Linked DNA regions of Saccharomyces cerevisiae S288C. The gene in region 2 interacts genetically with the main gene of each other region. Each region holds a gene or a part of one and is shown on either strand. Other genes may lie near its edges.

What was found.
Region 1: mutations in ITC1 (region 2) and SSN2 together harm fitness more than expected from each alone (negative genetic interaction), as found in Saccharomyces cerevisiae (2 studies listed by BioGRID).
Region 3: mutations in ITC1 (region 2) and LCB4 together harm fitness more than expected from each alone (negative genetic interaction), as found in Saccharomyces cerevisiae (2 studies listed by BioGRID).
Region 4: mutations in ITC1 (region 2) and SPT21 together harm fitness more than expected from each alone (negative genetic interaction), as found in Saccharomyces cerevisiae (2 studies listed by BioGRID).

The regions. Positions count from the first base shown.
Region 1 is NC_001136.10:1,344,619-1,351,668, forward strand, and holds SSN2 (Ssn2p), read right to left. Parts: upstream 5,321-7,050; coding exon 1,058-5,320; downstream 1-1,057. Other genes in the region: adenine phosphoribosyltransferase APT2, read right to left, coding at 1-444; YDR444W (putative hydrolase), read left to right, coding at 5,672-7,050. UniProt on the Saccharomyces cerevisiae protein: Component of the SRB8-11 complex. The SRB8-11 complex is a regulatory module of the Mediator complex which is itself involved in regulation of basal and activated RNA polymerase II-dependent transcription.
Region 2 is NC_001139.9:255,259-262,305, forward strand, and holds ITC1 (Itc1p), read left to right. Parts: upstream 1-2,448; coding exon 2,449-6,243; downstream 6,244-7,047. Other genes in the region: 60S ribosomal protein uL1 RPL1B, read left to right, coding at 1-36; PCL10 (Pcl10p), read left to right, coding at 405-1,706; DNA-binding E3 ubiquitin-protein ligase SNT2, read right to left, coding at 6,390-7,047. UniProt on the Saccharomyces cerevisiae protein: Functions as a component of the ISW2 complex, which acts in remodeling the chromatin by catalyzing an ATP-dependent alteration in the structure of nucleosomal DNA.
Region 3 is NC_001147.6:651,510-656,227, forward strand, and holds LCB4 (sphinganine kinase LCB4), read right to left. Parts: upstream 2,376-4,718; coding exon 501-2,375; downstream 1-500. Other genes in the region: GLN4 (glutamine--tRNA ligase), read left to right, coding at 1-223; YRM1 (Yrm1p), read left to right, coding at 2,701-4,718.
Region 4 is NC_001145.3:617,723-622,970, forward strand, and holds SPT21 (Spt21p), read left to right. Parts: upstream 1-2,135; coding exon 2,136-4,412; downstream 4,413-5,248. Other genes in the region: MMT1 (Mmt1p), read left to right, coding at 1-376; FPY1 (flavin adenine dinucleotide pyrophosphatase), read left to right, coding at 757-1,581; CTL1 (polynucleotide 5'-phosphatase), read right to left, coding at 4,529-5,248. UniProt on the Saccharomyces cerevisiae protein: Required for normal transcription at a number of loci in yeast.

The DNA.
Region 1 (7,050 bases), on a different chromosome or scaffold from region 2:
TTGTCTGATAAGGTCGCCCGCAGCATATGCCGTTCCACCGGTGGCGAGAACATCATCCACGACAACCACGTTGGAATCAAAGGGAATGGCTTCAACCTGCATTTCAAAAATTTCTTCATGGTCTAATTTTGTGAATGTTATAGAAGCACACTCACCCGGCAATTTTCCAACTCTCCTTATTGGAACAAATCCAACTCCCAATGCCAGTGCTAGGGATGGCCCAAATAGAAGGCCTCTAGCTTCTATACCTGCAATAAAGTCGATCTTTTCTTTGCCGAACTTTTCTTCTAAATGCGTCTTGAACGTGTGTACCAACTTTTGGAATAGCGTGGGGTTGCCAATAATAGGTAAAAAATCCTCAAATTGCTCACCCTCTATGGGAAAGTCAGTGAACTGCCTAAATGCAGTTTTTATTTCCTTTGCGTAAGATTCAGAAATAGACATAATGAGAGGCGGACAGGCAATGAACAGGCATATACACACGCACTCTCTTTTTTTAAGGAGCGAAAATTATCTGAACGATTGGTATGAACGGGTGCAAAATTTACTTTAACACCCAAAAAGTATATGCGTATATATATATATTTATCCTTGTTATTTTTGTAAATTGAGCTATGCAACATAAGATTCCTGCGATGTAAGAACTACTTGCTAATCAAGAGAACTTCAACAATTTTCCATCGCAGAGACGAAAAAACTGGAAAAAAATAAAAAGAAAAAATTGAAAAAGAATCGCGACTTCCGATTACATAACCTTATACGGAGTATGATACCATTCTTGACATCATCAACACACCATCGCAGACCCACGTGGCCGCTTCGTGTGCCTTGAAAATACAGCCTTAAACGCAATCTCATTCGCGTTCTGTGGAAATTGTCTCGGACTACACGCTGGGCGTGCATCACCAGTGAAAATGCCGTACCGCCCCGCTTCCGGTTTTGTTTTTATAAATCCGACTGGAGAAATAGACTTCTGGGTTTACACCCCGGAATAATACTAAAACCAAAACTGGTAAATAGGGCTACAGATGAGCAGGAAAACGTTGCCGGAAAAAGTTTATTTATCCGAGAGAATAATTGATGAAGAAGTAGCGGTATGCACAGTAGCGGCGGAAGTATTAGCAATTTTTACTCTGGTGTGCACAAGAGTGTTCATCATTTTTTTCACGGCTAGGATATGCCATGGAATATGGCCATCTTCGCCATCAGAGAGACCGTACCACACGTTTAGAGCAGCCAGGTTGCGAAACTCTTCTAAGATGGTTTCCAGCAATTGTGTACTATCAGAATGTGGACAGTTTAAAAGGTTGACTGCGAATTTGTCCCAAACCGTATCACCGTCGCATTTTTTGAATTTGATCAAAGCACCACTCCTAATAGCACAGCGATGCTGTGAGTGTGCCAGTGGGAACGGGTGCTGAAATACTATTCCATGGATGTCCTGGTCTATATCCCTTATTTCATAGTCGTATAATCTGGTCATATCCATGCGTCCTCCAAACCTAGTGTCTTTGTAGATCGGCTTGAAACTAGGGTACAATTTGTCCTCATCTATGAAGGAGATTTTAGAGTTGTCATCCACACACACCACAGCAAGATGTATATTCCTACCAGAAAGTCTCCTCCAATTCATCAATTCATCATCCGGCAGTATGCCATTCAATCTAGTTAAAATTAGACATATTTTTCCGAATTTTTTAGACGCTAAATTTAGGGCGATATTCCATATTTGATTACATGCGTCGTCAAATTTTCCTCTGGAATTCCCGACGTACCACGTTTTCGTCATGCTGCCTTGTCCATAGCTATCTGAAAGAGCTGCAAAAACCCACTCTTTATCTACACTACGCGAGTATGCCAGGTGGATGTACGAGTCATAATATATTATAGAAGATGATCCTGTACTGTTATTCTGCTGCTGCTGTTGCTGTTGCTGTTGCTGTTGCATTTGCTGTTGCTGCATGGTTCTGAAATTCACTTTCTCCGGCAGCGTATGCGCAATGTGGGTGAACTTTACAGATTTTGGCGGCAGCATGTTATATATAGAAATTGCTACGTTGACGTACTGATCCACTGTCACCAGTACGTTTCTAATGAAATCCATAGGAATAACTTTCAAATATAGTTCAATGTTAGGCATCTTGGCACAAACTTCGTTCTTGATCACCTGAAAAATATTCGCCTTGTCTACTAATTCAGTCAGAGTTGCATTATCCAAGGGTAAAATTATTAATATTGGTGGCACGTTTTTGATGGAGTTCTTATTATTAGAACAGTATGAAACAATCTGCGCAGCTAACAACAGTAACTTGTTTTTATCAAATGCCTTCAAGTACATCAGTCCGGGCGGGTCTTCATTAGTTAGTTTAAGCAACTCACAAAACCCTAACTCTTGATTAATATATGTTTGAGATAGAGTTGGCGCAAATGACAGACAATCTTCTTTGAAAGATGAACTTAATAATAAGGATTTGAAGTTTTTTATTCCATTTGGAGGGCGAAAATTGAGGAACTTAATAAATGGCTGAGAGTCGTGTTTGACTTTGATTAGTTCGTGATGTTTCTTTACAAAAACGTACGGCTGCTTCATGTTATAGAATTTGGAGATCGTATCATTGCCATTTAATCTATCGAAAGTGGAAAATAACTGTAACATTGTGGTTGTTATTAAACCTTCTTGGCAATCTTTAACTCCCCTATAGGCGATCTTTGGAATACCGAGGTTTCCTAAGATATTATAATCAGTGACGACTTGTTCTGCAATTAAATCTAAGATGTCTTGTTCTTTTTCTGAAATTGTAACAACGGGAGTAGGCGTGATGAAAATGTCCGGTATAGATGCTAGCGGCATGTGTCTCAATAGAAACGGTAGACTACTTGATGATTCAAAAGATAAATTGGGGTCCGCCGGTGTGAATTCGGGGATACCACTCTTGTCTTTTGGTAGGTTAGAAATTTCAGAATTTACCATATTCGGCGTAAATTCGGACGGATTACTGGTAACATTATTATCTTCCAAGGTCATCTTTATATTGGATTCTATGGGTTGAATAGATGAATCAACGGTCTTCAGTGGTGACTCGGTCTGTGGTATATCATTTTGAGGAATTTTCCAAATAGAGTTGAAGCCTTCCTTATTGCTAGTGATATTAGCATCGTTTACTGAATTGAAATTTTCTTGCTTTATAATAGAGTCTTGTAGACTTGGGATCGAAGAGTAATTTATGTATTGAGGCTCATGAATATTAGTATTAGTACTGATGTTATCAGAAGGTTTCATGTCGTCGCGTACGTTCAATGACTTTAGATCCTCATCGCTGCTACCGTTCTCTTCTTCATCCTCTTCCTCTTCAGAGCTAGAAAGATCCGCCATAGAAATATCAAAGTTTAATGCTTCCTCCTTTTGCAACGGACTGAAGGAAAATTTCCCTCCAGATTTGTATTTGTTATCAACATTGTTTTCTATTATGGGGTTAAAATTCAGTGGAGCGAACACACTTTTGCGTCTATCGCGGGGTGTTTCCACAGGGAGTGGCGCACCTGGGTCCATATATAATGGACTCGTTGGCAAGGTCATTTCATCTATCGGAATATCCAAATATTTCCTCTTTCCATTTAATCTTTTTGTAGTTCCGCTCATCGTACGGATATTCGGTTTTTCAGATGAGGGAAAAAATGGAATATCTTTACCAAGATCAGTATGCATTTCCTTGTTATTTTTATTAATGCTTTTATTGTTATTATTTTCTTCTTCATCAGACATTTCGAACATATCCTCGGTAATTTCGTCCGATATACTTTTGTTCGATTCGTTTGTAGAATTCGATTTATTGCTATCGCCAAATAAATCCTCATCCTCATCCTCACCAAACAATTCCTTGTCTACCATAGAGTCACTTTTATCACTTGGCAGATTTTCGTTCTGTTCTCGTTGTTCCAGTGTTCCCTCTTTATTATGAAGTGTGTCTACGCTTCCTGTCTTGCTCACGGAATTATTTACCTTTTCGAGTGATCTACCATTTGCCTCCAGTTCCGTTTTCAGTGGGCTGTTCTCTAAGTCATTTGATACTGTAGTTTGTTTCCTATCATTAAATAATTCATTCTCATTGATGTTATTATTAGGGGTATTTAAGAAAGCTGGAGCAAATTGATCGCTGGGCGACAGCATTAATTTATCAATGCCTGTGAAATTAGGGGAGAAATCTTTCGGAGATATCTTATTAGTTTCTTGGACAGAATGATAAGAAGCGGGTTGAGAACTAATTGAGTTGTTCTTATAATGTTGAAACTGTTCTGTATATGCTCCATCTGAGCTTAAGGGATTTGTACCAGCAATATTACTGCTCAATACGCCGGAACTTCCTGGAGTCCTATAGGCAGCTGTTTGCTTTAATTGTATGAAATCATCAATGGCATCCAGAGCATCTTGCAAACAGTGAAATTCTGATGGATCTCCGGAAGTAGAATTTTCTATATCAGCTACTGGTTGGGCGAAGATTAAATGCAGCGGCCATACTAGCTTCTTTGCTTCAAGTAAGGGAGTTAAATACGAAGCTATAGTAGGTGTGTGGCCGTTGAGATGTCCTAAGTCAGGAACAACAGCAACCCATTTCAAATTTTTTTTATTTTGTAAGTTTATACCATGAGATACACTTAACGTCGTCAAGAGAAGTTCTGTATGTTTTGGTGGCGTTATCAAGTATCCTTGCTTGGAAGCAGGGGCCAAATGCATCCTTATTCCAGATGGTGCTAAATAAAGCGCATGCTTTGAAAGGAAAGATTCTTCCAAATTTTCCTCCTTCATTGGTACTAATCCCATGTTCTTGGCACATAACGACACTGTGAGATCTCCGTTTACAAAAAGGTGTGGTTCTAGCTGTACGAGATAATTTGGCACTCCGCTTAATGATATGCAGGCATTCCCAAATTGTATTAGCTTATTGTGTGAACCTAATGCCAAATTAATGTAAATTTTCCTTCTTAAAGCTTTTAAAAAAAGAGCATAGTGTGGCGGTAAGTTTGGCTTTGAATAATCGGCAGTGAAAGTTCCGATTTTATCTGGGCTCACTGGTTTATGTTCTATCGCAGGAGGTGTCGGTACCGGATCATCATTTATACTGAAACACCATAAATCCCTTGAAAGCAGCGCAACTAGAGTCTTTGGATCCTGCTTCCGTAGCATGAATTCCATTTGGATAGACCATTGATCGTTTTGGGCTTTAGAAATGTACTGATGATAGTTGATCTTTTTGATTTTCTCCACTCTATAGAAGCTGGATAAAACATCCTCAAGTCTGTACGTGGAAGCGTCAGAACTCATACTACCTCCTCAGATCTTGATATCCAGCTTAAACGTTCTTAAAATATAGTTACACCTTACTTCAACAAAGTAATTTCCGATTTCACACCATTCGTCTTAAAGGGTTGTTGTAAGAGTGTACTACAATAAATACTACACTACTTGATCCGGCACTACCCGGTCCCTCCACCTGAAAAAATGTTTCAATTCTTCGCTTTGTTAAGCGCGAATATATCGATGCTATTTTCTAAGGATTGTTTATTCAGTATGATAAAACAATGAACAGCAGGAAATGCGGAGGAGAATCACTTACTCGGCTGTTATTCATCTTCTTATTATAAAAGAATTGCTCCATTTTGGTTCGATCCCTTAATGCCTTACAAAATCAACCGAATGAAAAATTCGCTCGAGATAAATGAAACCGGAGGTACCTTATTGGTTGATGAGCGGAAGAGATTAAGAATAGGTGAGTTATATCGCTACAAGTTTTCCGTGAACAAAGATGTAATTAAGGAACAAGGGCTAGATGTATCGCATCTATTCTTGAGGATCAAGAACGAGGAAAGCGCGCTTCTGCGACCGCTTTATTTGACGGGGCCATATTCTTTTTACATCGATGTTAGGCCGCATAACTATAATGAGAATCGCAAGTTTCCAGGGAAGGAAATTATTCCATTTGTTGAAAATCTAAAGCCGGACGAAAGATTTAAAGTAAAAATATTATTGAATGAGAATTCTAGAGTTGGCGACACTTCTCTTTATTCATGGACAATAGATATAATTTCGCAGTTGGCGGTAACCACAATTCCGAAGCTGGAATTTTCGTTTAGGATAGGGACTACAAGGAAGGTGGTCAAGAAATCGAATGGGCTCTTTAAGAGTATTGAAGGTGTCTCTTTAGAGATGTGGGATACTGAAACCCTTTGGGATTTACCACCAAAATTTCCAGAAAAGCCTGTACATCTCGTTATTATGACACATGGTATATTTTCTAATATCGGGTGTGATATGCTATATATGAAAGATAAAATTGAAGAAATGACGTTTCCTATGGATGAGTCTATTAATCCGAATATAATTGTTCGAGGTTTTATGGGCAACGTCGGGAAATCAGGTCACGGTATACATTGCTTGGGCGTTAGAGTTGGAAAGTATGTGCTTGAGACTGTTGATAAGTTGAATAAAAAGTACAAAGTAGACAGGATATCATTCATTGGCCATTCCCTAGGAGGGCCAACTCAATCCATGGCGGTGCGTTACATAAGTATTAAAAGACCAGATTTTTTTGATGCAGTTAAAGGTGTTAAACCCGTTAATTTTATTACGTTAGCTAGTCCTTTCATCGGTGTTATTGGCGACTTCCCCTTTTATTTGTCTGTTCCACTGGATATGGGCGCGCTTGGTTTGACAGGAAGGGACTTGAATTTAAAATATACACCGTTAACGTCCAAAGATGGGTTGTATGCAGACGATGAAGTGTACCCAGAACATTCCAAGTACATATTAGAAATTCTTCCACAGGCGCCGGCTAAAAAAGTATTTGAGTCTTTTAAGAGGAGAACGATATATGCCAATGTCATGGATGATGGTATTGTTCCATTACGAACTGCTGCACTTTTGTATCTGGATTGGCGAAGCATACACAAAGTCCAGAAAATTAGGAAAAAAAATAAGAACTCTCCAACTTCAAGCGAGTTTGTGTCCTCCGATAGCCCAGAGAGTAGTGGAGCATCATCACCTTCAAACGAAAA
Region 2 (7,047 bases):
AAGTCCTCCATGGGTCCAGCTTTCAGATTGTACTAATCACTTCCGAGCGATTAATACATATCTCCATCTTTTTAAATACCTTTTTTAATACGTATGACTCTAAGTAGTAAAAGTATTATGCATAGTTTTAGCCAGATATTTTTGGGCCCGGAATATATCTTTTCGGGAAGCTCGGAGTATATTGCACCGATCCGATTCTTACTCCATATCATGCCATTTTTCTTTCCTTTCTCAGCGATGTTTTGTAGGAAATCACTTAGAACTTGCCTTACTTTAAAAGCATGTTGAGTGAATTTCACAGATCGATATGCTTTGGTGTTCAATCAGTTCAACCATACCTGCTATTATATAATCTTCGACTCGCATAATATAGGTATTCCATGCGCAAATAGATTACTTGCAAAATGGACATGACTAAAAACCACACCACTGACACAGAGGAGTTTGATGATGGTGATATACGTCCAGTCAGTTTGGGAATTGTGGACGATTATAACGCTTCGTTCGAATTACCTTTGAAACCAAAGTTTTTACAGAGTGAGAATTTCTCAGATTTAACAAGTGAATGGGACCAGTCTAGATCAAATACGCCTGGTCTTGCAGAAGGCAAGACTGAGAAAGCACAGCCATGCGGTACAACAGATAGTTCAAAAAATAGAATACATGTAGAGCAACTGTTGGAATCCGCTAATGAAATGAATAATTATTTGGCGCAGAATATAGAGAACATAAACAATTTTCAGGTGGGGCTATTGAATGGAGGGAAAGGATTATATAGTTCCATGGGTGATGATTCGAGCGCGTGTATTAATGGCACTAATTTTAGCTCAACGTCCAATTTTGAACTAAGTGATGATGAGCTAGAGGATACCACGGGTTGCACAAGTTCTATTTTTGATAAAGATCTTTTCCATCAACAAAACGGGCTAAGCATACCTCGCCGTAGATCACCACTCTTCAAATCTCCAACTGCCAGTTTCGAAATTGGCGATGCTACGGATGTGGAGGAGCAAGATATTGATGACTCCATTTTTTCTGAATGTAGCAGCATTACAAGCTTTGATATGGGAGGGTTGCATATCAGTCTACCACACGATGAAGAAGAAGATCAAGAAAAAACTAAGTCCGAAAGTGAAAACCCGTTGCTACATGGCATACCGGTTGATGTAGAAGTGCCCCACATATCGGTTGATGAAGCTCTGGCGAATTTCAAGGAAACCATAGAACTACTACTAAAACTTAGTGGCAATAGAAAGTGTACCGGTTTCAATACTAGAGTGGAGAAAAAAGAATACTCGAATTTCTACATGAAAAGTAAACCCACCTTATCATCAGCAGATTTTCTCAAGAGAATCCAAGACAAATGTGAGTACCAGCCAACTGTTTACCTTGTGGCAACATTTTTAATTGACACGTTGTTTTTAACAAGGGATGGCAATAACATTTTGCAGTTGAAGTTAAACTTACAGGAAAAGGAGGTCCATCGAATGATAATAGCAGCGGTTAGATTGAGCACGAAATTATTGGAAGATTTCGTTCACTCACATGAATATTTTAGTAAAGTATGCGGTATTTCGAAACGGCTTTTGACTAAATTAGAAGTCAGTCTATTGATCTGTGTGTGCAATACTAAATTAATGGTCAGTAACAGGAAATTAGCCGCCTCCAAATTACTTTTGAATGAACTACGGTCCTTCTGTGTATAGTTGATACAAGTATTTTAGATAATTATTTTAACGAACGTAACGAATGCTTTCCAGTCAATAGCGGCACTGGTAATATGATACAAACAATTTCTCAATAAAACAACGACAAACTTAGTCTGTTTATATTTCCGTGCAATGGTGGAAACCTGTACTCGATATTGGAGAAAACTTCAGAGCTTCCCAACAGTTATCCCGGATTCTTAATTGATGCTCTCGAAACGCACATAAAAATGTGATTTTTTTACTCGCATTAAATTACTGTTGAATCTATGGTTCAAACAAATGTATATTTGCCTACACATCTTTCTCTGTCCCTTCTGTATTGTCTAACCTTAAAATAGAAATATTTCATGGTTTTATTTCTTTTAAGTTTATTATCCATTTTTAACGTGGTGAGAAAACCCGAAATGAAAAATAATAAAGGAAAATTATAGAGGAAAAAAAGTGTAGAAATAGAAAAAAAATAAAAAGGATAATACCGATCAGAAAAATCCTCTTTCTTGCTCTTCTTCTTTTCTTTGTATTTCTCCTGAAAAAATTCAGAAAAACATATATTGGGTTAAATACATAACTATTTAAAAGGCTGTAAACAATTCAACTGACATTAGATACATCACACTCAATTACTGTTGGAAATAGGCAGATATATCCAGATTTTTACAATTACTATAGCACTTCCATTGAAGATATATAAAAAAAGAAAATAACAATAGGAGGAAGTAAAGAAAGCCGTTAATAAACAATGGTGTTATATAAAAGGAAACCTATATTACTTCCTGATCCAAAACCTTTACCATTGGATTTGAATGTACAAGTATGGCATATTGAAGAGACTGGAGAATGGTTTTCTAGTTACGAAGAATTTTTAGAAAGGTTTGATTTCTACACACGCCACCATTTTACATGCGAAATCACTGGTACTTCTTGCCTGACTTTTTTCCAAGCTCTGGATAGTGAGGAGACACAATTCAAATACGTCGAAGACAGATTCCCATTAAAGTTGAGAGAACCAGTTGCAAGATTTTTACATTTTAACGGAATAAGAAGGTTAGATGCATTGGTGGAGAAAGTTTACGCAAGATTTAAAAATGACTTTTTCCCAGGAGAAGTTGTTTATCTACGTAAACAGAAAGACTCTTCTACCACAAGCTCTAATTCCCAACAAAGTACTCCTCAACCTGATGATATGGTCGAAATCAACAGTGTTGGTAATCCTGGCTTACCGCAGTACCAATACCAAAGACGTTATGTTATCAAAGAAAAGGTCCAATTTAACGCAACGATAAATCCAGAGAGCAGGGAAATTGTGATGCCCGCTCATACTAAATACATGCTGATAGAAGAAGCAGCTTCCAGTAATAAATCCTTCATTGTTGATCAAGGACAAATTTACAGGGACCGTTCCACTTTCACTAAGCACTTAATCAAATGTTTTTTCAAGATTACTTTACAGAGGGCATCTTCGAAAATGGGTGCACCTTGGTGTGTCAAACCGGAATATTTAGCGATGTATGGTTTAACGATGGAATGGCCAAAAGATATGTTAAAATATAAAGAAGATGAACCTGTCGTAGCAAGACGTTCCAACAGTGCCAATGTTTCATCCCCAGAAAGTGAAAAGAATAAACGTCAAAGTAAATCATCGGGTAAAAGTAACACCTCAAACGATGCTTCTAACAAAAAAGAAACCAAGAAAAAAAGAAAGCCAACCGAAGTAAATGATTCTGAGAATAATTCTTCGGAAGAAGACAAGAAGAAGGGTCAAAATGTCACATCAGAAACACATTCTAAAAAAAGGAAAAAGGAAGCCAATGAGGAACCGAACACGGAAAACGTCGAAAGCGTTCCTACACCAGCTAATGCGGAGCCTCAGGCTGTAACAATAACGAGCATAATGGATGACCTAGCTTTGCCATATCAACATCCACCGAACATCTTTCCAAACTTAACGTATTATAATGAAAAATTAGAATGTATTTCATTAGGTTCTACAAAACTTTCCAGACCTTTTGATTCTTTTGGAAAGCTATTACAAGCCTATCAGTTTCTGAATACGTTTGGTTCGAAAATTTGTCTCTCTCATTTTAGCCTTGACCAATTCATTACTTCTTTGAAATGTACAGACCCATATGAGTTAAAGGGCGAAGTTGTTTTAGTGAACATAAGAACGCAAACGTCTAAAGAACAAGAAATTGAAAATAACGGCCTGCCGATGAAAAACAAAGCAGAGACTACTACTGAGGAAGACTCTGAAAACCCAAGTGACTGGCAAAGAAATTCATTTATTCGTGATATGATAATGAAAAGAAATTCCGACAAGGTTGAGTACAAGATTGTTCACGATGACCCAGCATCCGATGATATACTTGATAATATCAATCATAATGGGTCTGCTCTTCTCATTGAAGTTTTTACTGCGCTCTTACGTTTGTTCATCAACGAAGAAGGCGATTGGAGTTGCATCGTCGTTGAAAACTGGATAATAGACGACAAGGGAGTCCTTATGGAGAGAAAAGATGAAAGAGGGGAGGGGGAGGCGAAGCAAAAACGAAATGCTCACGGATACTTTTTACAAGATAAGGAAAAGATCGACAACCTAAAGGACACATTAAAGGAAAACGCAACAGAAGTTCAAAAAGAATCAGACGCTAAAAACGAAACAAATTCAGAATCTGATTCTAAATCTGATTCTGACAGTGAAGAACGAGATCCTAAATTAGAAAAGTGTTTGAACTACCGCAATGTTAACTGGATAGAACGCTTGACGAAAAGGCAATTTAATAACAGTTACTGGCTAATAATTTTACTGGGAGTCTTAGAAGATTGTAGACATCTTCCCATGTATACAGAGTTTATTGATTCTTTCATAGAAAAGATCATACCCAAAGATATATCAGCTACTCAATTGCCCAAACAGCTTTGGAGAAATTTCTGTCGAAAGCTGTCGTTCAGTGACAAAGTCAATGCGCTGTGGATACTTGTAGATCTCGTATCGCATTTTTCTCCAGATATCAAAGCTGCTGTAGATGATTCCATGGAACTATGTGGTCAAATTCGTAGCGAAAGATTCAAAGTTGCGAGAGAGTTGAAAACGGAGGCAGCCGTCTTAAGTAATCTTCAAGGCGACCTGCAGGCAATTCAAGAGAAGTTAAATAAAACAGATGAAAACACACCATCAGCCGATGGTGCCGATAAAAAAGATGATTCCGAATCAAATAGTGAACCAATTGATCTTATTATCATTGAGAAAAAGCAAAAGTTAATTGAAGAGCAGGATAAAAAGGTACAAGCTTTACAATCAGATAAAAATTTCCTCGATAATTGTCTATTTGAAAACGATCTACAAAGATTAAAGCCGTTGGGATTGGATCGATACGGGAACAGGTATTTTTGGCTGGATCACAATGGTGTTCCATTTCCTCAATATCCTGCTGGTATGAATGAGACGCCGAAAAGTAACAATAGTTTGAGTTATCACTCCGGTCGTTTATTAATTCAGGGACCTAAAGCATCATCGGCGAAATTCTTTTTGAACGTCAGTGATGAGCAATTGAGCAATTGGCAAAAAATCAGAAATTCCGAAGGAATATCCGAGGCAACTAGGGAAGTATTTGGTATCTCCAAAACTAGTTCCGGATCTTATAATTACGTAGAAAATGGAATAGAGGTCGAACTATTGGACAGTAATGATCGCGTAAACCCACTTATAGAGCTGACACCTATTCAAAAGAAAATTATGGATGAAACACCTTCAAGGTTGCTACTATCACCAGATCAATGGTATTGCATTGACAAGTTAGAGGACTTGTCAAGAATAATGGACTGGTTAGATAATTGGGGTCGCAAAGAGCATGATCTCTTGAGGCAAATCAGACCCATAATGGAACGAATTAAAAGTTCCCTTAGCTTGCGCGACCATGCGCTGTCACTGACAGCATTCACCAAAAATGAAGAAAAGTTGCTAAAGGAGTTAGAAAATAATGAATTTACCGAAAACGAATTGAACGTTGATAGTATGGATGTTGATGATAAAAATAGCGGTGTTAAAAGTGAGGTTGATGTACAGGTTGATGCCGAAGAGAAGAGAGAAGCTGTGATAGACGAAAAGTTGGAGGTGATTGCAGACGAACTCATGAAGCTAGATGATAGCTCGAAAACACGCAATGTTCTTAATAGAATACAAGAATTAGAAGATCAGAGAGATGAACTCTTGGAACAGAAAAAATCCATAATAAATTCGCAGAGGCCAGGCGCGAGGATTTTAGCCCGTTCAGAAAGGAAAAGAACCAAAATCTCCCGTGGTAATAAGGTGAATAAGCAGATTGAAATATTGACTGACTTAGTCAATTATAGACATTTTAAAGCTATGGAAGATGTGATAGCTTGGAAAAACGTTTTAGCAAATTCGATATGGGGTTCCTCACTTCGCAAAAATGCATCTGGTAATAAAAGGAGTGGTGTCATTGAAACAGTAGACGATAAATTAAAAGATATAGTGGGCCAAACCTCAAGAACAGTAACACCTGCCCCAAATTAATATATAAAAAACTTCCTTTGTAACTGATGGTAAATTGTAGTATTCATAAATAGGATAAGATTATTCATTGTAAGCATAATGGAAAAAAATAACACAACAAAGCCGCGCAAGATTGGACCATACTTTCTATCTAAGGTAACTATCACTTACTGGCTTGATGGATGCGTATTTTTGTCGGTACCAGCTTCTGAAATATCGATATCAAACATAGCTGGCTCAATTCCTTCCATCAATTGCTGGGTAATTTCGACTGGTAAACCGTTATCGTTAGAGATATTAGCAGATGCGCTATCAAAATCGAGTTCTTGGGCACCTGATCTCAAATTGCAAGAATGGCAAATAATATCTTCATACCAGTATAAACTTTTGTTTGTACCACAATGTGGGCAAGTCCTTTCGAAAGGAAGTACGTAAATTTTGGGTTTAATAGCAGAGTCGTGTGAGTTTCCTGGCATTTCGCCGTGTCGCAGTCTAAGCTGTTCAAAATATCTCAACTCCACTAGACTATGGTCAGATTCGCACTTATAATATCTGCAGTATTGTTCTATGTATGACAGAGTATGTTGAGGCTTGTACGATAATGGATAAAGTTCGTTTCCTTCTAAGCTGATATCGTGTCTATCGCATATTAGTATAGGTCTCAAAGTGTATGTATCGTTAAGCTTGACATCCTTTATGCACGGTAGAGTGGTGTCTACAGACATATTTTTCTTTTCAAACATAAGCTTAAAATTGGAGCTGTTCTGTGCACATGTAATATGATACCTATATTGGCATTTGTTACACTTCACTAACCCACCTCCA
Region 3 (4,718 bases), on a different chromosome or scaffold from region 2:
ATCTGTCATGGAACATAACTTCGGGGACGTTGTCAAGAACAGTCCATGGGTCGTTGATTCTGTTAAAAACTCGGAATTTTATGTTGAAGAAGATAAGGATTCCAAAGAAGTGTGTAGATTCCAAGCTATGAGAGTAGGTTATTTCACTCTGGATAAAGAGAGTACGACTTCTAAGGTTATTTTGAATAGAATAGTTAGCTTGAAGGACGCAACTTCCAAGTGAATGATTTAATGTGCATATATGTATATATTTATATATATATCCTATTGGTTGAAAATGATGTAATAGTGTAAATTTTTTAATTATATTAGATAATAAAGACCAACTCATAATATTGTTACGTATTAATGATATATAACTGGGGATGTATAATTATAATGAAAACAAAAATGGAATATAAACCATACTCCGATGATAGAAACATTATATCGCCTTTTCTTTTCGATGTAGTATTTCTTTTTACAAAAAAATCATTTTTGAAGGAAAATATAACGTTAATCTACATGGATTCAAACTCTGTATCGATATATCTACCATTCCTTAGCAACGTCTTGCATAACATGGGCATTATTTCCACTTGCAAGGGTTCCAAAGGAAACTTTTCACCATCCACTGAAAATAAACCTGACTCCACTTTTGGTATAATCTTATAAGCCAATATTTTTGAGTGAATAACTTCTGGCTCTAATACATGAGAACCTTTATCCAAGGATAATAAAATTGGTGTCATTCTTGTCACTGGGATTCTTGCATCCGTTATGACTAAATCAATGGTACCATCCGCTGGTAAAGCAGCGGGAAAAAATTTGGTGTCCTTAGCAATATACGGCATTTTCCCTGTGTAAAAGATTGTTAAGTTATCAGTTAGCTCTGAATCCATTTTCTCCCAGTCTCTAGGTACTGGTTCCGTCATCGGATACTTTAATTTAAAGTTGTCCTCGTTGAGAAAATTCGGTGAAAGTTCATCTTTTGTACTGTTGTTGATATTGTTTTTAGATAGTAAATCCGGCGAAGAGTTTGGGCTAGGATTTGGTTCGAAGGTTAAACATCCTTTGTTTTTATCTTTATTTTCTAAGAAATGAACTTTTAATTCCTTTTTAGATTTGGCAGCATATTTGACGAAAACTTCGCAGGGATATTTCTTACCTTGGATAATGTTGAATGCTACACCCAAATTAAACCTAACGGGACCCATCCATCTGATGAATTCAGTGTTAATATCAGATTCTGCAATAACGCCGTACGTCTGACTCAAAAAGGATAATCTTGGCCATTCGTTCATATAAGAAGGTTGGGAACAACACATTAAGTCTATTCTTGTTTCAATGGATTTGACAAGGCACAGAGCGGCGTACGATGGGTTATTTGTCCAATGACATGAAATGCTCATAGCATTTCCTGAACCGCAAGGTAGCTGAGTTACGGCTAGTTTATTGAACGCATCCACTCTGTCGGGTCTTCTATAAAGCCCATTAATTACTTCGTATGGAATACCATCACCCGAGGCACATGCAATGGTATCGTATTTGCTGATATCTAAATCTTTGGCAATATCGATGGCGTGACGGGCATATTTTGTGTATGCAATTTCTATTTTGCAGCCACTTTCCACTAGTATTGGCCTTGCTTTTGTCAGGAATAAATTTTTAGCAGTACCTTTACCACCGTGGGGATTAATAATGACTAATATCGATCTGTTTCTCTTGGAATTTTCATAACTTTTTTCCAGGATTTCTTCCACAGTACCAGAAGAAATGTTCTCCTCTCCGGTATTTGCTCTCGATTTCCTAGAAACGTGATCTATTAACAAGGTTAATTTTTGTGGTATAACATCATGGCCCTTGGGTACAGCAAAAGTTAACTCAATTAACTGTTGATTATCTTTTATCCCTAAAGATGGTGAGTTATCCTGTGAATCATCGGGAGACACCTTCACAGTGTTCGTTTTTGTATCCCACTTGTCTTTTTTGGGAAATGACTGTGATTCGCTTACAGGAGCCTTATCATTGCTCAAACTATGATTCTCAACGTCGTCATTTTCAGACGAAGAACTCAGATTTTCCGTTTGAAAAGGATTCGAAGAAATTTTGCCATTATTGAAGCCTTTCTGACCGACATTCACATATTTTGCGTTCAAAATTCTGTTGAACGGAATGGTAGTATTAAGAGGCAACAGTTCCAGGGAATCATCCTCATCAAAAGAACCTCCATCAGAGCTCAAAGTTCCATCATCCAGACAGGACAAGCAGCTCAACAAGGATAAAGAATCTCCGCTTCTGAGTTGACCATGCTTATTGAACATATGGTGTGATTGCGATTTGATCAATACACCTTCATCGGTCAAGATAGCCCTAAGTTTTTTCTGCACCACCATTATCTATAGTAGATTCTTCGCGTACTTTTCGCTGCTAGACTTTTGTGTTCTTGATAACCTCCAGGATCAGTACGTTAGACAAGGGAAAGTATCAGATGGGTTAAACACGAATTTTCACCTTCTTGTATGCCTTTCTTCCGTTAAATCATCTTTTTGCTTCAAGACCCTTGCAGCACGTTTTTTTCAGGCTCGGCAGTAGGGTGACACCCATGGTTTACAAGGCGATAAAATGACAAATGCCAGGTGGTATTGTAATAATAACGGCAAGAGTATAGAAAGTCAGAGGGGAAAGCACATTGAATGGTCCTGGTAAAGGGAGTTGTTAATGAGTAAGCGGGGTAGTTTACAGGATAGAGCTTCCCCATCGGAGGAAACTGTAAAGAAGGCGCAGAAGAGACGGAAACCAATAAAGTCATGCGCTTTTTGTAGGAAAAGGAAATTACGTTGCGACCAGCAGAAGCCAATGTGCTCAACTTGTAAGACGAGGGGTCGTTCTGGTTGCCTGTATACAGAGAAATTCACCCACAAAATAGAAACAAAAGAGTTATTTGGCAGTACTCCGAACATTGAACTGTTGAAAAGGATTGAGGATTTAGAGAAAAGACTAGATGACAAAGAGTTGACGGAGAAGGATGTAGCGCTTAGTACGAGCCCATTTAGGAACCCTTACGCTAATTTTTACTATTTACAATGTAAAGGCTCGGGAAGAAGAATAGTATATGGTCCTACATCTTTGAGAACGCATCTCTCAAACGATGATAATCGGTTTGTAAACACGTATAATCAGCTCTGGTCCAAAGTGAAAATCGAGAGAAACAGATGGAAGGCTAGGCATAAATGGACAATGAAGCCAGAAACTCAACTCCTAGAGGGACCGCCGTTAGAAAAGACAGGCTCTGACATCTTGCAACAGGTTTGTAACGTTTTGCCATCTTTTGAACAATCGTCAAAGATTATAACAGACTTTTTCAATACTGAACTGGAAACTAATGAAGTTAGTGAAGTATTAGATAAAACCAAAATAATAAACGATTTCACTTCCTCGTTTCTTCCAAGTGACGAACTGTTACCCAACGGTGAAAGGCGGATTGAAAAGTTATTACCATCGACAAAGAAAAACTATTATAAGATTGGAGTTATTTTGATGATACTGTGTATTCGCCATTTCTACAAAAATACTCCGGAAGAGATAGAGAAATTTCTCATCATGCTGACGGGACTGTCAACAGCTAAAGTATATTTCATTGAACGCGCTCAATTTCTCTTATTGAAATACTATCATCGAGAACTAATTTGGGCGTGTGGAGACGATTCGCATATGATTAGTCTAGTTGACTTATTATGCAGCACGGCAATTATGCTGGGTTTACACTTGAATATAAGAGAAATATACAAAAATCAAGAAAATATTGTGGGGAGTATGGAAAGTTTGGAAAATTTGTGGGTTTGGATTATATTATCAGATTTCAATGTTTCTTTAAATATTGGGAGATGTTTGGCGATTAACTCATCCTATTTTCAAGTCGATGAATGCGAGAATGGTGAGAGGTTGCCTAAAAATACAAACAATTATTCATCGACGGTTTTTTTCGATCAGTCAAATTCCTGCATGGGCAAGCTTAAAAGGTTTTTAAGATTAGCTCGACCAATGCTAGATCAAATTTATGATAGAAGCGCATTTCCAGACTTAGCCGAAAATTGTAAAAAACTAAGAAACTTTGTAGAGACTGAATTCCACCCAATATCATATTACACTGACAGTGAGTTAATATCTAAAGTTCCTTTGTGCGAGATTAAAGTGCTTGCGCAGGTTTTGAATTTGTTGTTGACGTTTTATTCCTTGAGGTATTTGATTTACAAGGAAAAAAGCGTTGTTTTAGAGAACAACATCCTGCAAACCATTTTGGTCTCTTTTTCCCTTGTCATCAATACGACCATACTGTGTTTTAACCTAGATGAGAAGCATTTTCCTGAGTTTTTTGATCATAATTGCGTTCATTTACCGCCATTTATGGCCTTGTCTTTAGTATACACAAATTTCCTTTTTCCTAGGGCCTCTACTGGCTTTTGTGCGTTTTTGTATCATAAGTTAACTCTTTTTGAGAAGGGCTATTATCTATCATCCAACATCAAAGATCAAGAAGTCACAGATTGGGATTTGTCAACCTTGAATATCCCGTTGGATAAAGCTATGAACTTACTTACTGCTTTCAAAATACATTCAGATATATTTGCTAAATGGTCTAATGATAACAACAAGCAGTTAAGAATTATTATGGCTCGCTCTTATACATTTGTTATCAACATCGCCCTGGAAAGCATATATAGAGCTGTTTTGGAAAA
Region 4 (5,248 bases), on a different chromosome or scaffold from region 2:
TCGTGATGATCCACGCTACCTAGAGATAGAAACTTTGGTTAAAGATACGTTGAACAAACTGATCTCTAATAATAATTCTCAGAAACCCTATGGATTGAAAGAACTGACGTTACTGTCCTCAGGACCGAATTTACGCGGACATTTAACCTTGGAAGTTCCTTTACAAAAATGGGGCAATATTTTAGGTGTTAACGAGTTTGAAATTGTGACACATCATTTACGTAATGTGTTAACCAATGAAGTATCGAATTTGAGAAGACTGGATATTGAATACGTGGAAGAAAAAAATGGTGAGGAAAATGAGCATATCAAGGGACAACAAAACTACAAAGAAGATGTTCTTATTAAGCACGACCATACGAATACTCATATTTGAGCTTCCCACAGTAATAATAACAAGTGAAGAAGAGAGGGAAATGTCGAAAATACCCGAAACGCATTTCACAATTACAAAAAGGCCAAAAAAAAAAAGGAAAGACAATACGCTTATATTTGTCACGTATACCTACTATTTGATTTATGTACGTTTTATATACAAATTGCATTTACTATTTATAAAATAAATCATTAACTATAATACTCTAACTGAATGTTTTAGGATCTTCTCTATTAAAAATATACGTGGAAAACGACTATGGCTGCCCGAGAGACTAAAAAGGAAAGAGCGAGGGATATAACAATAGCAGTCATTACTGGTGATAATAATGACATAAAAGAATTACTGAAGGAGGCAAAGTATATACTGTCAAGGGTATAATGGTGAAAGTAACTGCAGCTTGTATCATAATTGGTGATGAAGTGCTGAATGGAAAAGTAGTTGATACAAATTCCACTTTTTTTGCGAAGTATTGCTTTGATCATGGAATTCAATTAAAAGAAATTGCAACTATAGGGGATGATGAAACCCAGATCGTAGATACTGTGAGAAGATTAGTCAAAAATTATGATTTTATCATCAGTACAGGTGGAATCGGCCCCACTCATGACGACATCACTTACGAATGTATGGCGAAAAGCTTTAATTTGCCTTGTGAACTAGATGAAGAATGCAAAGAACGAATGAGGCATAAATCTGACCCTGAAGCAAGGCTTGATGCAGATGCTCTAAAGGCGCATTACCAAATGGCAACCATGCCAAAAGGCACAAACGTCAAAAATTATTATGTGTGTGATGACTTGTGGGTACCTATTTGTTCTATATCTCACAAAATGTATATACTACCCGGTATCCCTCAACTATTTGCAAGGATGCTGAAAGCGTTCACTCCCACGTTGAAAAAAATATATAATTTGGACAAGGATCCACGTGAGTATGTTCGTTATTTTGTCAGAACACACCTAACTGAGTCTCAAATTTCTAAAGAGCTAAAGTTGATTCAGGATGAATCAACAAAAGTTTCAGAAGCCATTAAAATAGGCTCATACCCACATTTTGGTATGGGATTCAATACAGTTAGTATTTTGGGTGAAAAGAAAGACGATTCATATCTGAAGAGTATTGTCAATAGAGTTGTTAATAACCTCGAGGGAGAAGTAATTTCTTCTGAACTTGAAAACAAGTTCTCGAACCAGGAGAGCTGAATACCCGAGTATTTAGAACTATGTATAGATATAGATTTTTTTTTTGGGAGCAAAGTCATCTCAGTCATCGCCGGTAGTTGCGCTTTCTTCTCAACAAAAAAGTACACTGCTCGTGGTAGAAAGGTACCTTGAAAAATTAAAGATCACATTGCTACTGTTAGAGCTTCAATCGCTAAAGTAAACATTTGAAAAATGCATATCCGAAAGGACCAAACCAGCAAAAGGTATATAATTCATTCAATAGATACAACTGCTCCATGAAAGGAAAAACCTTCATTTACGGTCGCGTTTTTTTTCGTGATATAAAAAAGGTAAAAAAAACGCGTCGCGTTAGAAAAAAGGTGTGTGTGAAGAGAAAGACCCATTGAATGGAGAGTTCGGTTCTTGGGAATTGCACTGAGCCGTGGTGAGTTTGTTGCTTTACTACATCTCTTCTTTTATAAGCAACGCTTAAGCTGAACCTAGTCAACACACATAACTGAAGTCAATTTGACCAGGTGCAACTGAAACCTGGATTGGAATTGGTATTCACTTGAACAAAAGACTCTGGTAAAATGTCTGAACTCTCTCAAATGACATTGAAGATCCTTTACACATTGGATAATGGATCCAATGGTAGTTATTTAGCCCGCTCAAGGGCTCCAAAACAGGTAAGAGTTGCTAATATTCCTAGTCCATTCCCGACAGATTCGAATGAGCAAACGGAGTTGCGAATTGGCGCCATCCATTTGAAGACTATACTGCATGAAATATACTTAAATTCACCTGAAGTGTTAGACCATGACACTTTAAAAGATGGATATGATTATAACTTGTATTATCGTGACATATGTGAAGTGGATGAGCCATTAGTAAGCCTTGGTCTTCTTTCCGGGCTTCGAAAAAAGTTTCATAAGAATAGCCCCTACCAGTATACAGAAAACAATATTGGTGAAGAAGAAAGTGAAGAGAGAGATGAGGTAACTGAAGAAGAGTATGAAGATGAATCTTTTATAGTTACTGGAAGGGTATGCTCGAATGTTTCCGCTTTACTACGAAGATCATATAGCAACATCTCGAATAAAAAGGGAAGGGTCGTAAACAACCAAATTCCGGAAGAAACTTTGGAGGTTAAACTAAGATTCACAAAAGTTATAACCAATTTAAGGACGTCTGGTAACAATACTACAAATTCTCGGATATCGTGTCTTCAAATGCCGTCTTCTTTACCATCAGCAACACTTCCGTTTACCCCAAAATCGCAATCTCTTTTCAAGACAAACCAAATAAAAAATTCAAGGAATGCAAGGACCACGATAACAATAAATAATACTAATAGCGGGACTGTGGGAAGAAGACAGACGAATCCTATGCCTGCTCCAAAAGCTGTCAGAACTCAGTCTTTACCCATCTGGAATCTTAAACCAAATATAGCGAATACTGGTTTCCCAAGAAATTCAATTGCGCACAAAATCTACTTAGCAGATAGAAAAACAGAAGCCAATCAACAAAACAACCAGCATCAAAACATAGCTTACGAAATAAATACTTTGCAAAACGATAATACTATTCAGAGGACCAAGATCGATGATTCGGTAAGCAAGAGGTTCGATTTTATGCTCAACAAAAGAAAGTCTACGAAAAAAGTGTCACCTGGTATAGCAACGATAGCAAAAAAACCAGCTTCAATAAACATAAATCCAAAGCAACCGCCGAAGACTAGTGGTGAAAAAAAAGCAAATGATAAGCAAACGATTGTCAAAGTTAAGAATTCGAATTCCAAAAATTCGGCTAAGTCTACACAAGCAGGATGTAGGCGATCATCAGTGATAGAACATTTAAATGATCATGACGATTCAATTTTAAGTGACATTCTATCGGAACCAGGCATTGAAGGGCAGAAATTGCAGCAAAAACAAAAGGGGCGTAAGATATCTTTAACTAGTGAAAATGATAAAGAAAATATTCCACCCCAAAGCATAACTAGTAAAGAGAACAAGCTTGAAGGTGACTTGGATTTTAACGCTGAGTTCCCCATGAGTGACTTTTCGGATGTAGTATTTAAAGATGAGATGGGATGGTTTTCCAATTTCAATTGCAATTTTTTTGAATCACCAACTTCTGCAAGTGCATCACAACTCAATCAGCAAAATTTGAAGCCTTCTATAACACTCAACGATCCAAACACCTGTAACACCATTGCTCTCGAAAATGAAGATGTCAGTGAATTGGAAACAGCGCAAAATAATAAAATATCTTTGCCTAGCGATGTTGACAAAACCTCCCCAATAGACTCGTTGTCTATACCTTTAATTGAACTTACACATTCAAGCTCGACAACAAACATGCAGCGTATATCCATTAAAGAAGGATCGACACTAAATATAACAGATAGTAATAATGCCACCCCATGTGATAATGATATAAAAGATAGAAAGGCATCTGTAATAGATTCGGACAATACAAAACCTCAGGCAGGGCTTATAAATTTCTCTACTCCAGCTGACCAGCCAGCTTCTGATAATAATGTTACAGCTTCGAAAAAGCTTACTAGCATGCTGGAAACTCAGCAAAGTAAGAGATCTCATGAAGAAGTTTTGGATGAAGAGGAAGAGGAGGAAGCCCTCAAAAAGCAAAAGGCAATACCGTCTTCACCATGTGGGATGTTCAATTATCATCAACCCATGGAATTATCTGAGGACATAGTTGAAGAAGAGCAAGGACACAATATCGGCGATGATAATGAAAGCGATAAGACCAACGATTTATTCTCAACATTCATCCATTCAGGAATAAGAGTAAGTCAGGTAGTAACAAGTCCCATCGGTGAATTTCAGTCAATAAAACACTGAAAATATTACATGAACTTATTCCTAGCACAGCATGTATATATATATATATATATATATACTCAGATCATACATGTAGCACCTTATAGAGAACAAAAAGAAGTATTTAATTAGCATTTTCATGTCGTTAACATGTTATCGCGTTCTGCAGCCTTACGTATAAGGTCGCTGGCATTCAAAAACGAGCACATATACTCATTAAACTTCTCCCTATCATTAGCGGAAATTGTCTCCTTGAATATAGGATCCATTTCTACCTCCACTTCATGGGACGTGTATTGATGGGAGTTCCTTCGCGTGGTAGTAACCTTTGTCAAATCCAAGTGTAAAGGCATTTTATCATTAAAGGTGTAGGTGGAACGGCTTTTGGTTCTTTGTAAAATAAAGCCATTCCTGAAAGCGGCAGAAGTTTCGTATTCAGGCACTTCAAGGCTGATGCTAATTTTAGCGTCTAATGAACTTTGAGGATAGCGAATGAGAAAATCCTTGACCCGGACCTTTTTGATGTAAGTAAGTTTAAGTTCTTTGTTTCTAAGGTCTTCCGAACAACGCCATGAAGTTAATTTGCCAACTTTCGAGGCATTGTTGCAGTTATATATAGAATCTTTCGTATACTTTTGTACCTGTTTTACTACTCTTGGGGCACATTTACTTGGATTCTCCGATTTTGAGCGGAGTAGCTCCTGGAAACTCGAGAACATTTGCTCAGGAACGTTAGACACTAAGCGGCCATTTCTGTTTTGAACAATAAAGGGCTTGTTGTGTGGTGTCATCCTGCGATGTGTCCTTTTGTCTGTTATAACACCAAATTTCATTTCGATTTCAATGTGTGATATCGA